3 linked regions of the Daphnia pulex genome follow. The main gene of each other region encodes a partner of the protein of the gene in region 2 in a complex. Links are inferred from orthologs where the notes say so. Each region holds a gene or a part of one and is shown on either strand. Other genes may lie near its edges. The genes, in order: integrator complex subunit 12-like, integrator complex subunit 2-like and integrator complex subunit 9-like.

The links.
Region 1: integrator complex subunit 2-like (region 2) and integrator complex subunit 12-like share a complex: the UniProt entries of both Homo sapiens proteins name them as parts of the integrator complex. The link is inferred for Daphnia pulex from reciprocal best matches to the Homo sapiens genes INTS2 and INTS12.
Region 3: integrator complex subunit 2-like (region 2) and integrator complex subunit 9-like share a complex: the UniProt entries of both Homo sapiens proteins name them as parts of the integrator complex. The link is inferred for Daphnia pulex from reciprocal best matches to the Homo sapiens genes INTS2 and INTS9.

The regions. Positions count from the first base shown.
Region 1 is NC_060026.1:13,198,172-13,202,561, reverse strand, and holds integrator complex subunit 12-like, read left to right. Parts: upstream 1-1,958; 5' UTR 1,959-2,080; coding exon 2,081-2,251; intron 2,252-2,305; coding exon 2,306-2,409; intron 2,410-2,467; coding exon 2,468-2,590; intron 2,591-2,648; coding exon 2,649-2,765; intron 2,766-2,829; coding exon 2,830-3,310; 3' UTR 3,311-3,388; coding exon of another isoform or gene 3,389-3,437; 3' UTR 3,438-3,471; downstream 3,472-4,390. Other genes in the region: adapter molecule Crk-like, read right to left, coding at 1,243-1,274; eukaryotic translation initiation factor 2D-like, read right to left, coding at 3,389-3,437, 3,515-3,646, 3,722-3,994, 4,065-4,154, 4,219-4,390. UniProt on the Homo sapiens protein: Component of the integrator complex, a multiprotein complex that terminates RNA polymerase II (Pol II) transcription in the promoter-proximal region of genes.
Region 2 is NC_060027.1:805,826-810,704, reverse strand, and holds the start of integrator complex subunit 2-like, read left to right. Parts: upstream 1-1,676; 5' UTR 1,677-1,791; coding exon 1,792-2,096; intron 2,097-2,157; coding exon 2,158-2,296; intron 2,297-2,357; coding exon 2,358-2,574; intron 2,575-2,630; coding exon 2,631-2,761; intron 2,762-2,824; coding exon 2,825-3,016; intron 3,017-3,085; coding exon 3,086-3,235; intron 3,236-3,317; coding exon 3,318-3,494; intron 3,495-3,549; coding exon 3,550-3,798; intron 3,799-3,860; coding exon 3,861-4,425; intron 4,426-4,501; coding exon 4,502-4,657; intron 4,658-4,739; coding exon 4,740-4,879. Other genes in the region: microtubule-associated protein 4-like, read left to right, coding at 83-285. UniProt on the Homo sapiens protein: Component of the integrator complex, a multiprotein complex that terminates RNA polymerase II (Pol II) transcription in the promoter-proximal region of genes.
Region 3 is NC_060027.1:3,456,399-3,461,277, reverse strand, and holds integrator complex subunit 9-like, read left to right. Parts: upstream 1-1,400; 5' UTR 1,401-1,538; coding exon 1,539-1,547; intron 1,548-1,616; coding exon 1,617-1,811; intron 1,812-1,875; coding exon 1,876-2,078; intron 2,079-2,138; coding exon 2,139-2,340; exon of another isoform or gene 2,341-2,402; coding exon 2,403-2,536; exon of another isoform or gene 2,537-2,603; coding exon 2,604-2,716; intron 2,717-2,780; exon of another isoform or gene 2,781-2,789; coding exon 2,790-2,970; intron 2,971-3,038; coding exon 3,039-3,478; intron 3,479-3,554; coding exon 3,555-3,745; intron 3,746-3,809; coding exon 3,810-3,977; intron 3,978-4,047; coding exon 4,048-4,164; 3' UTR 4,165-4,202; downstream 4,203-4,879. Other genes in the region: mitochondrial fission regulator 1-like, read left to right, coding at 4,799-4,879. UniProt on the Homo sapiens protein: Component of the integrator complex, a multiprotein complex that terminates RNA polymerase II (Pol II) transcription in the promoter-proximal region of genes.

The sequences.
Region 1 (4,390 bases), on a different chromosome or scaffold from region 2:
GAGATGAAAAAAATAAAGAAACATTCTTATTTCAATTTCGGAATGGAAAGAAAAAAAAAACAAAAAAATGTAAAGCTCGAAAGAGTGACGATCGTTAAAGAAGAAAAATACGGTGAATATAAAGAATCTAGCCGGAGCCAGATGGTGTTGGTCCGCGTCTGCCAACCGCAAACGGTTGGGATTGCAGGTGTTACTCGGCCAGTGTCTTTTTTCCTTTTTCAAGTCGAGTGGGAAACAAACTTGGGAGCGAGAAAAAAGGGCTGACATTTTTTGTTGGAAAAAATCTGTTCTGTTGGCTCCTTATTTTACCTAAGAGGCGTCGATACAAAATGAGAAGAGACACACACACGAGACCTTTATTTTCTTCGTGCGAATGAGTCGTCGTCGTCGTTGTTGTTGTAGACAACTCTCAGGAAGGGTGGAGAAGGAGGAAGACCCAATCAACTCTCTGCTGCTGCTGCCGTACATACCGCTGCCGGGCGGGCCGAGTCGAGCGCATCCGGCCATATCTAAATGGCTCTCTCTCTCTCTTTCTCTCTCTCGCGTTTTTTCCCTCTTCTTCTCTCACCACTGTGTTCCCCCCTTCCAAACAACATACACGCACTCACTTCCTATACCACACCATCACATCCTCTCCCAGACTTCATCATTTTTTGGGGCTTTTTTCTTTCTCGGGAATGCGTCGCCATTTTCACTCGTATTAAAACCAACACATATGTGATCATCCGAGATTCCAGCTGCGTCATCTACCACCGGCGCCTGTTTCTACCACCACCCCTTTGCCCCATACAACATCTAAATATTTATCACGACGCCCACCCCTCGGAAAATCCATGGCCTATCTTAGATGACTCTCCGGATATACGGGAGAGAGGGGACCGACCAGCAGGATGTAGAGAAAAAGGCAGTAGAGGAGTTAATCTTCATGATCATCATCTGTCAGGAATCAGTCATTTAATTGAGAGAGAGAATAAGGACATTGGCAATATGAGAGACTTTCTAAATCGAGGATGCAGGATGCATCACTGATTCTCTCATTTCTAAACAATCTTCCTTTTTTTTCTTTACCGTCTGGCTGGGGGGTTTTACTTGAAACCTAAATTTAGAAGCTAGAAGTTATCTGGTGGTTGCAGCCAACACAAACAAACAGCAATTTCCTGAGAAATTCACACCAACTTCTGGCTGATGAAGGAATGAAACAAATGACCTGTTAGAGATTAAAAAGGAATTTAAATGATTTACCTGTTCCTGTCGGCTGGCTCAAATGTAGACATGGCAGCAAGCGAAATGGGGTGGAAGCTTGCACAATCCAAGAATTTGTTCGTCAATTAGAAAATCCCCTCACACCCTTTTGTGAGGTGACTAAATGTCTTTTATCTCGACTTGAAAACAATCGACAACCGTGTCCAACAGGCCTCACATCCTCACTGAACCTCATACAGCACATATAACATCACTTTGATATGTAATCATCACAGGAGACGTGATATAACTAGTAACCTTTCGATCGTTCAAACGGATTCTATAATCACCAAATCAACTACACATCTCCTTTTCGTTGTGAGGTAATCACAGAGAGAAGAACAACGGCTATCTTGATCCTAAAAATTTGTGTTAAAAAATAACTCGTCGAAAGCTAAAACCAAACCAGCAACAGCGAGTCCGTCTGTGCAGAAGCAGAATATGAATGTCTTTCTGGCTAGACTCACAAATCTATCTAAGCCGTCGTTAGCAAACTACCGCTAGGTGTCATCGCTGAGTCTTATCGCTATTTATAGAATTCTTGATAAAACTCCGAATTTCTTTCTTTTTTAAAAATAAGACATCACATTGCGCGCTAATTAAATTTGGTGTCAAAATTTGCATACTTTTTGTTCATTAATAAAAAGAAAGTGTTGAAAATAAAATTGCACAATTTATTGAATCTGCCACCAGAGGGCCATTTCCTTCTTCACATTTATTTTGAAGTTGATGTTGATTCGGACAGAAGTGCTGTCGTGAATGGTTTGCTTTGAAAATAGCTCCAAGAACTCATTACAAATATTTACTATTATTAATATTTTAAATTCTAAGTTTGATAATGGATGGTCTTATTGAACCATATTTAATTAAAGCTATCAGTCTTTTGCATTCTAGTGCTAAAGATTCTGGTGACCAATTGAAATCTATGTTGGATGAAGCCATAAGATTAAAGAATGAAACCAACTCTTCTGTCAGCAAGTTGCCACCACCTTTGACGATGATCAAAAGGGTAATATATTTTTACTTTTTTTATGCTGTTGTGATTAAATCTCTTGCATTACAGGAAACAAAGAAGAAAAGTGACTTCTTCATTGATGAAGATGTTCCTCTCAGTAAAAGAAGGAAGGAATCTCCTCGATCTTCACAACCTTCATCTCCATCTTCTAGGTATGTATCCACAGTTTTGGATAAACTTTATACTAGTTAACTAAGTCTTGTATTACAGTGTTCTTGAGAAAAACAAGGAATCTAAGCGAAAACATGATAACATGTTCAATGATGATGAAGTTGTTCCAAAGAAATTCAAAGATTCCCCTCGTTCTTCACAGCCTGGCTCACCAGCTGGGAGGTGTTTTCCATTTGATTTCTTATTTATTAATTTTATTTTTAAAATTATATTTTCCTAGTTCACCACGAAATTCGAGATCTCCAAGTGTGGCTCGAAAAAGCGACGACCTCGATTCTTTGAATGACGCCGATGACTTGGCTCAGGAAATTATGGATCTTCACTGTGTTATTTGCACGTAAGTCTTATTGTTTGTTATAGTGATAAAAATATTCAAACTTTTTCCTCTCTCTACGTAACAGTGGCCTGGATGTTACTTCTGGAAATCAGCTCGTAGAGTGCCAAGAATGTCACGGCCTTTATCACCAGGAATGCCACCAACCGAATATTAGCGACGCCGAAGTTAACGATCCTCGATCCGTCTTTTTCTGTTCCGATTGTAGCAAGTCAATGAAAAAGACCGCTAGTCGACCTAAATCAAGTAGCAGTAGGGAAAGTCCCATCACTTTCTATAAAAGTCGATCTGACTCTCCGAGTTCCGTGAGTGGCAAAAGCTCAGCCGGCCTGGTAGTTAACTTCAGCAAACAGCAAACCTTGCCCCAGAAGCCAAATGGCGGCAGCGGTGCTTCAAGTAAGTCAACAAGCTCATCGAGCAGCAGTAGCAATTCTTCATCTGGAAATACTATTGGCAACACATCCCTCATTAACGCCGATAAACGACTGCAGAACATTAAGAAACGGGCTGCCACAAAATTGCAAGAAAAACGGAAACCTGGAAAATAGTCGGTTGTATATTAAACAGGCACCATCTTTCCGTGTTGTTTATTTCGGATTCCATTCTCTTATACAATTTCGCAAAAATTATTTTTTATTTTTGGCTTTTTTTAAGTCGAATCCTTGGATAAATTGCCTGTTAGAAAAAAGATAAAATTTTGTAAAGTTAATATTTATTTCTATTATTTTATTATTTAGTTTTAAAAAAATTACTTGGGAATTCCGTATTCATCGATGAGCAAATTTCCGACAAAACTAATTTGGTTACCCTGTACCAACACCAATTGACCCTTTTTAGCTGGAGAGCTGGTTATTGTTGTGCTAGCCGCCACGCCTACTTGGCACCTATTCAAACAGACAAGAGAAATTCGCTTACTTTTAAGAGACCCCTTCACCTAAAGAATGTGAGACCATTGGTACCTTCGAGCAAATTCGTCCAAGTCGATCCTGTACGTCTCAAGGCCACTGATGAGGGTGACCTTCTTGTTGCCAGCTCTCGATGCCGTGGTAATCTCGACTGGCTCCAACTCTCCTTTCACGATGACGGGAGCCGACTGGTTTGGGAAGATCATTTCATAAACTGTTGAAAGTTTAGCTTGACAGCGGCTCATTAGCTCTTCCCAGCTAAGCGAAGCTGCTACTTCGCCTTTTTTTAACATGACGTCACTCAAAATGGGATCCAACGTCACCTGACTGCACGAGCAATTGTGATAAATTTAGTTTCTACAACATTTTAGAAAGAAAGAAATCTATCTATTTAAACCTAGGATTGGTCGCATTTTGTAGCTGGTTCACTCGGACGTATTCAGTCAAGTATTGGCGGATCTGTTGCGTCGTCAAATTTGTCCCCTTTCTATTAAAAAAAAACCCTCAAATATTAGACACAGGATGTAAGGCATTGGTTAATCAACACTGACCGATAAGTTCCAGCGAAAAGCGGCAAACAAACGGCATTGATAGCGTACATCCGGGTTATGACAGGAGGAAGATATTTGTCGATTTCTCCGACCTTTTCAAGCGCAGGTGCCGGTTCAGGTTTGTCGTTGATATCCACACGGAAACTACGGACCCTTTCGTGGTCGTATCGAA
Region 2 (4,879 bases):
AAGGGCGTTTTGATTGACTTTTAACATCTACCTTTTATCTCTCTCCTAAATTACATTTTCTTATTTTTTTATTTCTTCCCAGGTGTTGCAAGCAGAACGGCCACGCCTGGTAAGCCGATCGCAAAGACGACGACATCAACTTCCAAGCTTGGTGCAACCAAAACTGGTGCGGCAACCAAATCGCCGGGAGCAGCCAAATCAGCATCCAGCGCTTCGGCTGCTCCCGAAGTAACCACAGCAACACCCGAAGTCGCTCTTGCTCCTGCACCGGCCGACGCGGAATAATGTAGAGCAGGTTAAAAAGCATCAGAATTAAGCGTGTTTTAAATGTGAAAGGTTCGAGATAACCAAGGAGATTTAAAAAAATAGAGAGGGAAAAAGGAAATAACGAGTGGAAAACGCCCAACCATATTATAATAACTCCCTACCGCCGCCTGCTATGTATACCGCCCGTCTCTCTTTCATTCGCTCATGATTCATCGTCTGCCAGCTTTTTAAACGTTCTCGTTTTTTCTTTTAAATGTTTTTTTTTCCTCCATCGTTTGCAATTTTCTAAAAGACAATAAAGGTAAAAAAAAAATAATAATTAAAGATTTCAAAATAGTTGAATCCGAGCCGAAAGAGAGAAGAAACGAACAATTTAAGTACTAGGGAAATAAAGAAATGGAGAATGGCTACGTGAAAACTTTGTTGCGATTGCGGGCCCCTGTAAAGATATCAAGGAAGAGATTCAAGAATCATCAATCATTTTTCCCCCCTGCGTGTGAGTGAGCGTGTGTGAAAGCGTGTGCGTGAGTTAATGTACTGCTATCCCCCCTCCCCCCACATTTCTTTCTTGGCAACACACAACATCAACAATATGTAAAAGGATTGTGAAAACCTCTTTTACTTCCCCCTAATGGCTAAATATTACTTTCGCACGCCCTGCACTCCCACCCACCAACGCTCTTTCGGCTAATAATCACCTATTTTATTATTAACTGTATTCGTGTCAAAAGTCATGAAAGAAAATGTCGTCCCTTCGTTTTTTTTCCCCCTCTTGCTCGATTCCATAATTTCTTTTTGTTTTCTCTTTTGTGTTTGTGGGGTTTCATGATTTTCAATTTCAAATTTGCCGCGCACAGCAACGGTTTGCCTTTGCTTTTATTTTTCTCTCCCCCCCCCCCCTATTTTCTGTTGTTGATAGTCACGCCAATGTCCAGCCGAGGTGATTGTGTCCACTGCTGCTTCTTCCTACTCTCTTCTCTACTTCTTACAACCACATGGTAATTAATTTAAAATATTGATTGCGCTGATTTTTTTTTTAATTGGATGAGTTTCGTTTTTATACGTTCAAAGATTGTGTTTCCTTTCCGTCTTCAACTTTTGGATGCAATACCCTCCACATTTTGTAATCCATTACGTGAGAAGTGCGAGTTACAACATTGTAGCGCAAATAAATGAAAAGCAATGGGGAGAAACGTCTTTTTAAATCATTATAAGTTTATAACTTGCTATTATCATGTCCGTTGAGTGCAACATTAGTGCCCCTTGTAGCTTTGATCATCTTGTCATCTGCTCAGTCGGATGACGTGAGTCGTGAGCTATCCGAGCAATCCGGATTCGCCCTAATAAGGCGCCGTGTAAACTGTAGTTCCTACGTTTTGCCGCTAGAGGATCAGAATCAGTTTCGTCTGCTCGTTGCCTTGACAACACAATGGTTCACATGAAAATCAAGCTTGCTATGTAAACCACTCCATGGCGATTTGTTGATTGATTGTGGTCTTAAAAACACAATATTTTGCCAATAAAATGCCGATGCCACCGATTCGTTCCGTTTCGAAACGAAATGTTTCGCCTCGTGTGTTTCAAGCTCTACAGAATTTGGATGTAGATAACTTAGCGGAATGTAACGAAGAAGAAATTCGAGCTGTTATGCCATGTTTGGCTAGAATGAGTTTGATAGGCCCACTGGACCAATCTAGTGAATGCACCAAATCTCGAAGAATGGTCTTCCAAATATTATCCGGTCGTGAAATTGTCAATTCCATAGTTGGGTTACTTTCAATTGATTTCCATGCTCTTGAGGTTGACGTCAAGAAAGAACAAATGCTACGGTATTTTCTTTACTATTGTTATGACTACTTCTTTTATTTTTAATCAAAATTTGTATTGCAGTCAAAAGCTTGGTAATCAAACTGAAGACTCTGTCTTGATTCAGTCACTATCAAACAGTTATGCACTGGAATTTGAAAGGAGTGATCCAACGAGGAAATTAAGGCTGTTTCTCAGTGAGCTCCTCACACTCATGGCACAAGTAGATTCCTCATAAAGCATTCATTTTCCACAATATTATTGTTTCTTATTTTAATTTCTAGAGCAAAGAAATCAGACCAGAAACCACATACAAAAGCAGTGAACTGTTGGACCAGGAAATCTATTTTGATGAAGTAGCTGATGTGCTGTGTGTTGCTTTAGCAGAGCTGACAATTCTGCTACCTATAACAGAAGTTGCAGAAGCTCTCTTGAGAACACTTCACGGTCCATCTTTCATATGTCGAATAGTGGCTAATATGCCTGATACTTTCAATGAAGGTAATATTTTTCCAAAGTGTGGTTTGAACTATATTTTAGAAGTAGTTTGTTTCAAGTTTGCCAGAGTTTGATTAGCAATGGTGAAAGATATGAAGAAGAATCCTTCCTTGGACGGGCCAGATTAGAAACACTTAGATCCCTCTGCAGGATGTGCCCAAATCAGATTTTGATGATCCAACTTAAATGTGTAAGTTTTTTTATCTCTGACAAAGCTTTGTTCTCTTTAGTTTAAGGTTTTTTTCCCTATCAGGTGGAGATGTGCAGAATGCCGGCTCTGGCTGTTTTACTTAGTTTGGACTATGCATCCTGCCATAAAATGATCAAAACAGATAAAATTGAAACCCAGTTGGGAGATGTCGTACCGTTTATCTCTGGTCTACTTTTGGGTGGAGATGCAAATATCCGCACCTGGTTTTCTCTTTTCATTAGGAATGGACAAAAGGTTTAGCTTTCTTTAAATGTACTTTATGTTAGCCGTCAACGTATTTAACTCTATTTCCTTATTTTACAGCGACATGATCGTGCCACTGCGTTACATACTTTACGCCAAGAGCTACTGAGAAGTTTGCAGTCGTTTGTTCAAATGGCTGCTGATGAGCCGTTACCTGACCGTTGTGCTGTTGATGCGTCGGCCCTTTTACGACTGTATTGTGCTTTAAAAGTAATTCTATTCATTCCAATAATAGTATGTTAGATAGGGGTGTTGGAATTGAAAAACTAACCCTTTATTTCAATATTTGTAGGGTATAGCAGGAATGAAGTTGTACGACGAAGAAGGTGGGCTTTTATTGCAATTAATTACCTGTCGTCCACCGCCAACCGAAGCTGGCCTTCGTTTCGTTGCCCTGGGACTCTGCATGCTGATGGCTTGTCCATCTCTCATCGCCTTGCCCGACCAAGAACAAAGCGGTTTTCGATGGGTATAATCGCAAGTTATTCGTAATTAATATCAGTTGTTATATTTTGTGATTTTAGGTGAAATGGTTGGTGAGGGAAGAAAGCTACTTTGAAAAATCGCCAGCGACTTCCTCTGGCAAGTGCATGGAAACAGCGAGGAGCAGTTTTGGAGAGATGTTATTACTAATGGCTATCCACTTTCACAGTGGACAGTTGAGCGCAGTTTGCGACCTGGTCTGCTCAACGCTTGGCATGAGGCTTTTACTCCGGCCCGCTTCTACTGCTCGTATGAAGGTGGCATTTACTCAAGACATATTCCCAGAGCAGGTTTGAGCTTTGTTAACAAGTTTATTTGGTCAAAATCTTATCCTTTTAAATTCGAATGTTAGGTGGTGACATCTCACGCTGTCCGAGTGCCCGTCACTCCCGGTTTGAATGCAGACGTTGCAGGATTCCTTCCAGTTCACTGCATCTATCAGTTGTTGAAAAGCCGAGCTTTTAGTAAGCATCGCGTGCCGATCAAGACCTGGGTTTACCGCCAGCTTTGCGAGAGCCGTCCTCCATTGCATCCACTTCTTCCTAGTTTGGTCGAAGTTTATGTTAGCTCGATCCTGACGTTATCTCCATCGAAAAACCAACAGAATCAATCGGGCGTAGCTGGTTCCATTGACATTGGCCATGACCCAATCAGCGAAGAGGAAATTCGAGTTGTGTTCGCCAACAGTTTTTCCAGGAACGTTCGCCGAGCTAGCACAGACGGGCAGGAGCATTCCGTCACGGCCCAGCTTTTACTTTTATATTACGCTCTACTGTATGAGGATACTCGTCTGACTCAAGTCAAAAACTACTTGGTGGCTGGTATCAATATCAAATCCTATTCTCAGTCGTTCTTCGCCGATTTGCCTATTCGATATTTGATCAGTCAAGCGGAAAAAGAACAACACCTTTATGCGGGTAACATTTAAAAGCAAGATTGGCCATTTTCTCCAATCCGCATGTTAATCCTTTGTTATTTATCAAATATCGATAGGACTCTTTTCACCATTATTACGGCTTTTAGCCACTCATTTTCCACAGCTGTGTTTGGTGGAAGATTGGATGTATGAAGTCAACGATAGCCAATTGTCTTCTTTATGCAGCCCACATGGATCTGTTCCAACTTGTTCGTCGCAGACTGTGAGCCAAGGTAATCATTTTGTGAGAAATTTTGTATGTACTTTGGAATTAGAAGTAAAAGTTTTTTTTTTTTTTTTTTTGTTCATTTAAAGCTTTCACCGACGTAGCCGGTTGTCCAGCACCGGCCATGCTGTTGATGCAGAAGCTCTTGGCTATGCCACCAAAATCATTGTGGCAAGTGGCGCACTCCTTCATCTCGCACTTTCGATCGACCCTCAATGAAGCTGTTCCC
Region 3 (4,879 bases), about 2.7 Mb from region 2:
AAATTCTTAACACACAGCGAGAGGGGGGGGGGAAGAAAAATTATATATATTTTGAATAGAAAAAAAAAGACTTTGAACTCTCTCTCTCCCCTCCCTTCTATCCGTTGATGGTTAAAACGGTCAGACGAGGTCACACACAACAAACACGTCGTAAGCAAGCTGCTGCTGCTTCCTCTTCTTTCTCTCTTCGAGTGTTGAGAGACACATCTCACATTGCTCCGGCTTCAATTTCTTGTAAGAGCCTTTAGCAGCAGCAGCTATCGTGTGTTGGAACACACATTTTTCTTCTTCTCTCGATAGATCACTCAACCGACCCAGCAGAGTATCGACATTTTTTTCTCTTTTTTCATTTCTGGTGAATAAGGGGGGAGGCCCCTGAGCTCTTTTGATTTCCCAACTACACTACTGTACTACTACTACCACCTACCCCATGGTATATATCAAACACACACACAAAAGCTTCTCTTTTTCATTCTTTTCTTTCCTTTTTGATATGGGAAAAGGGCCAGCAGCCGGGCAGATGTTTCCCATTTTGTAAAAGACCGTTCACTCTCTCCTTTTTGCTCACGTATATATATATATATACAGAGGAAAAATGCTCTCCCCTCTTTGGGTATAGTCGTTGGTCGTCTCCGACACCCATTTGTGATGTGTGTGTTGTGTTCCCCCCCATCGTATTTCATTTCCCTTTCTCTCCCCCTTAGTAACCGTGTCTGCTCTTATTTCTCTCTTCTCACACAGACACACAGCAGACTCCCGACCAAACACAGAGGCCAAGCCGATCATCGACCATGTTGTTTTCTTCATTTTCTTGCTTGGGTCTTGCTTATTGGATTCTTTTTATTGTGTGTGTGTTTTTTTTCTTCTGTTGTTGCAGGGGCATCAAATATATATAGGAGGCATTTCGACACCGGAAGCTGAAGGAGCATCACGTATCATCTCTCGCTGTGGAGAAAATGGTTCAATGACTTGGCCTTATCATTCACCAGTCCGGTTAGATTTTTTGGAAAGTTCCTTTTTCTTGGTTGCACCAAGATTTAGTTGAACACCCTACTGGACGGAGAACTGATAAGGGCGTGTCTTGCAACACAATCGACGAAATGGACGAATTTTTTTTTTTTGACAACCAACAAAACTGTATAGAGTGATATAATATTCTTTCGTTCTTAATCATTGACAAAATGTGTGTAACTTTGTAGCTTCTTTTGTTTCGCTTGTTTGTTGCGTATCCGATGGCGTTATTCAATACACATTCTCAAAAGCGAATATGTGATTCAGATTTCAATTTTTATTCTAGATTTATTTCTTTCGCGTTCCGGCGCTCTTATTTAAAAAAATAAAATAATAAAATAAAATGAACCTATCTTTTCAAGTTGAAAAATGACAACGCTGCATTGGGTTTTCAAATGTTAGTCTGCTAGCAGCTCGTGTAGTAAGTACGAACCGGACAAACAAACAAGTCTGGATCTGTCTGTCATATACCGAGTTTGAAATAAAAATTCTTTCTTGTCACTTTTCAGATAAAACGCGCCCACAACATGAAAATCGTAAGCATTTTAATATTTTCCTTTCACCGAAATGGAGCGGTCTGATAAACACAGTTTCTGTTTACATAGTACAGTCTGGGCGCCAACCCAAATAAACCCTGCAACATCTTGAATTTCAAAGGCGTTTCGCTGATGCTCGATTGTGGGCTGGATATCAACTCGGCCCTTCATTTTCTACCTCTGCCTCTCGTTGCCAGCAAAAGGCTCTCAAATTTACCAAACTGGATCCCGAGAGACACACAGGATGCTGCACTTCTTGATGGAGTGAGTTAGATTTGATCTCTTCTCTATCTTCGTGTCATTTCAAATGTTCATTTATCCTGTATAGGAACTGAAAGAATGTGAAAATCGAGTGTTGGTGGATGGCCCAATAGAGATACTGCCCCCTCAGTCAGACATTTTTGACATCTCTGATGTGGATACCATCTTGCTATCGAATCATGCCTGCATGCTGGCCCTGCCATTCATCACTGAAGAAACTGGCTTTAAAGGGAGGGTATATGCAACTGAACCCACCTTGCAGATTGGAAGGTATGCAACCTGCAATTGTTGTCACACAATATTGAGACTATATTGTATTCTTTGTCGTAGGCTCTACATGGAAGAACTGGTCAACTACTTGGAAAGGACTCCCAAAAATCAGCGAGCAAACAGATGGAAGCAAGTACTCCAGTCTCTTCCTCCTCCTCTCAGTGGGGCTCTGAGACCAAATGATTGGAAGAAAGTCTATTCCACAAAAGCCATCAATGCAGCCCTGGCAAAAGTTCGCATGGTTGGCTTCAACGAAAAAATTGTACGTCCTTTTTCGGATTTTTAAAAAATTCTTATGAAACAATATTAACCGACAACTTTTAGGATATCTGTGGTGCTTTAACTGTGATGGCCGTCAGTTCTGGATATTCCCTTGGTAGTTGCAATTGGATCATTCATTCCGGCTATGAGAAGATTGCGTACGTGAGCGCTTCATCTACTCTCACGACCCACCCAAGGTTCTATAAGCTTAATTAGTGTTACTTTTTTAACAAATTAATTTTATACCATTTTTTCCATATACAGGCCGATGGATCAAGTTGCCCTTAGAAATGCCGATCTCTTGATCTTGACAGCGTTGACTCAGACCCCCGTGGCCAATCCAGATTCAATGTTGGGCGAATTCTGCATGGCAGTTGGTAATTCAAATAGTAAAATTCTATTAAATTACATTAGAAAAAAACTAACAATGTTTCCTTAAACCTTTTGCAGCATCCACGTTACGATCGGGCGGATCTTGCCTAGTCCCATGTCACCCTTCCGGCCTTCTTTACGATCTGTTCGAATGTCTCTCAGTTCATTTAGACAATATTGGTCTTAGTCAGATTCCGCTGTTTTTCTTCTCTCCCGTGGCCGAAACTTCCTTGGCTTATTCCAACATCTTCGCTGAATGGTTCGGCTTGTCACATTTATTATTTTTCCGAAAATGTTTAGTCAACTTATCATCCTCATTTCATATAGGTTATCTTCAGGCAAGCAGAGCAAAGTTTATCTCCCAGAAGAACCATTTCCTCACGCCCATCTCATCAAAAATGGTCGACTGAAACACTTCCCAAGCCTGCATGCCGAAGGATTCACCAACGAGTACAGACAGCCATGTGTCGTATTTTGCGGTCATCCTTCCCTTCGTTTTGGCAATGTAGTTCACTTCATAGAGTTATGGGGCAGTCATAGCAACCACAGTATCGTCTTCGTTGAACCCGATTTCCCTTACCTGGAAGCGCTGGCCCCCTATCAACCACTGACCATGAAAATCGTTCACTGTCCCATTGACACGAGTTTGAGCTTCACTCAAGCCAATAAACTGATACGCGATCTCAAGCCAGGAAACTTACTCGTTCCAGACGTTTACCTCCACCCGCCAGTGTCGGCTCCCTTAAGATCAGACTTGGTTATTCAGGGTAAGTCTTCGATCGATTCCTGTTGAACTGGATCTAGTTGGCCAGTCAGTTAACCTTATTCTTTCTTTTTTTTTAGAATTGGATCCACCAGCATTGGGTATGAAGTCCTACCAGGTGTTACAGTTACCAATTAAGAGGAAGCAGGAAAAAGTGCATCTTGATCCGGCCCTGGCCTCTCGTCTCGAACCCATCCAATTTAAAACGGGCCTTTCAGCTTCTACTCTGACTGGAAAATTGGATGCTCGTGACAATAAATTTACTCTGAAAGTGAGTCCTTTGTTCTCCTAACTTGTGACAGTGTCTCATAGCTTTTTACTATTTTCAAATCTAGGTATTAAACGAAGAGGAAGGAGGCACATTGTACAGTGCGTCGGAGAGAATGCTGCCTCGCCATCCTTGGGGCTCTGTTGACACAACTCAACTGTTGCATTTGCTCAGTCAACATGGTTTGCTAGATGCTCGGGTCGAAGACACTCCTCGAGGCGTCGTCATTCACTTGGTACTACCCCGTATATCATTTTGTCATTTCAAGAGTCGTAATAACTTGTCTTTCCAATTTTGTCTTTTAGCCAAGAGAGGACACTGTGATTCAACTGGAAGGTTCCAACACTCATGTTTACTGCCATGATGAAGCGCTACGGAGAACTTTGAGGGATATTTTGCTACAATGTCTACCTTGTTTGTGAACATCACCATAAATACATTCGAATTTTTCTCTTATAAACCCAAGCATAAAAATAAATAGCAGGATAAATAATTGTAGAAAGTGACGGTCGTGAAAGATGTATCGACGGTTTACCCGTGTGAACAAAGAAATTCTGACGAAAGAACTGGGTTAAATTTGGAGTGCATTGAGCTTAACGACGTCCCTAGAATTTTAATTTAAAAATACTAAAATTTGTAAAGGAATCACGCGGAATTCTATTCGGGAAATGACGTCTATAGATTATAATTTTTCTTTTTTAAAAATATTCCAAAGTTATCACGTTGTGAAATGGCAATGCTGCATTTTATATCGTCTGTTGCATTGTAATTTCTGTGAATTTCATTTGCATATCATTCAGTTTACTAGACTAACCCATATTACTAGGGACGACAGTAGTTGCTCTCGTCATCGAACTAATATTGACTTTGTTTTGAAGTATGTAGCCTCAATTTGAGGAGAATTGCTGAGTTAAATCTTCGCTCGCTTTGTTTTATCCCTAAGTTGAAACCCCCAAGTTGAAGCGTTTTTTTCTTTATTGTTGATTTCCTGGTCATATGGGTGACTTTCTTATTCGTTAAATTTCTTTCGATTGCCATATTAAAAAAGTCATAACAATGAATCAGTTAATGAGGACGGTAATCGATGTACTTCAGGAGCTTCGTATAGATTTACAAGATTTTGCGTGGCTCATTGCT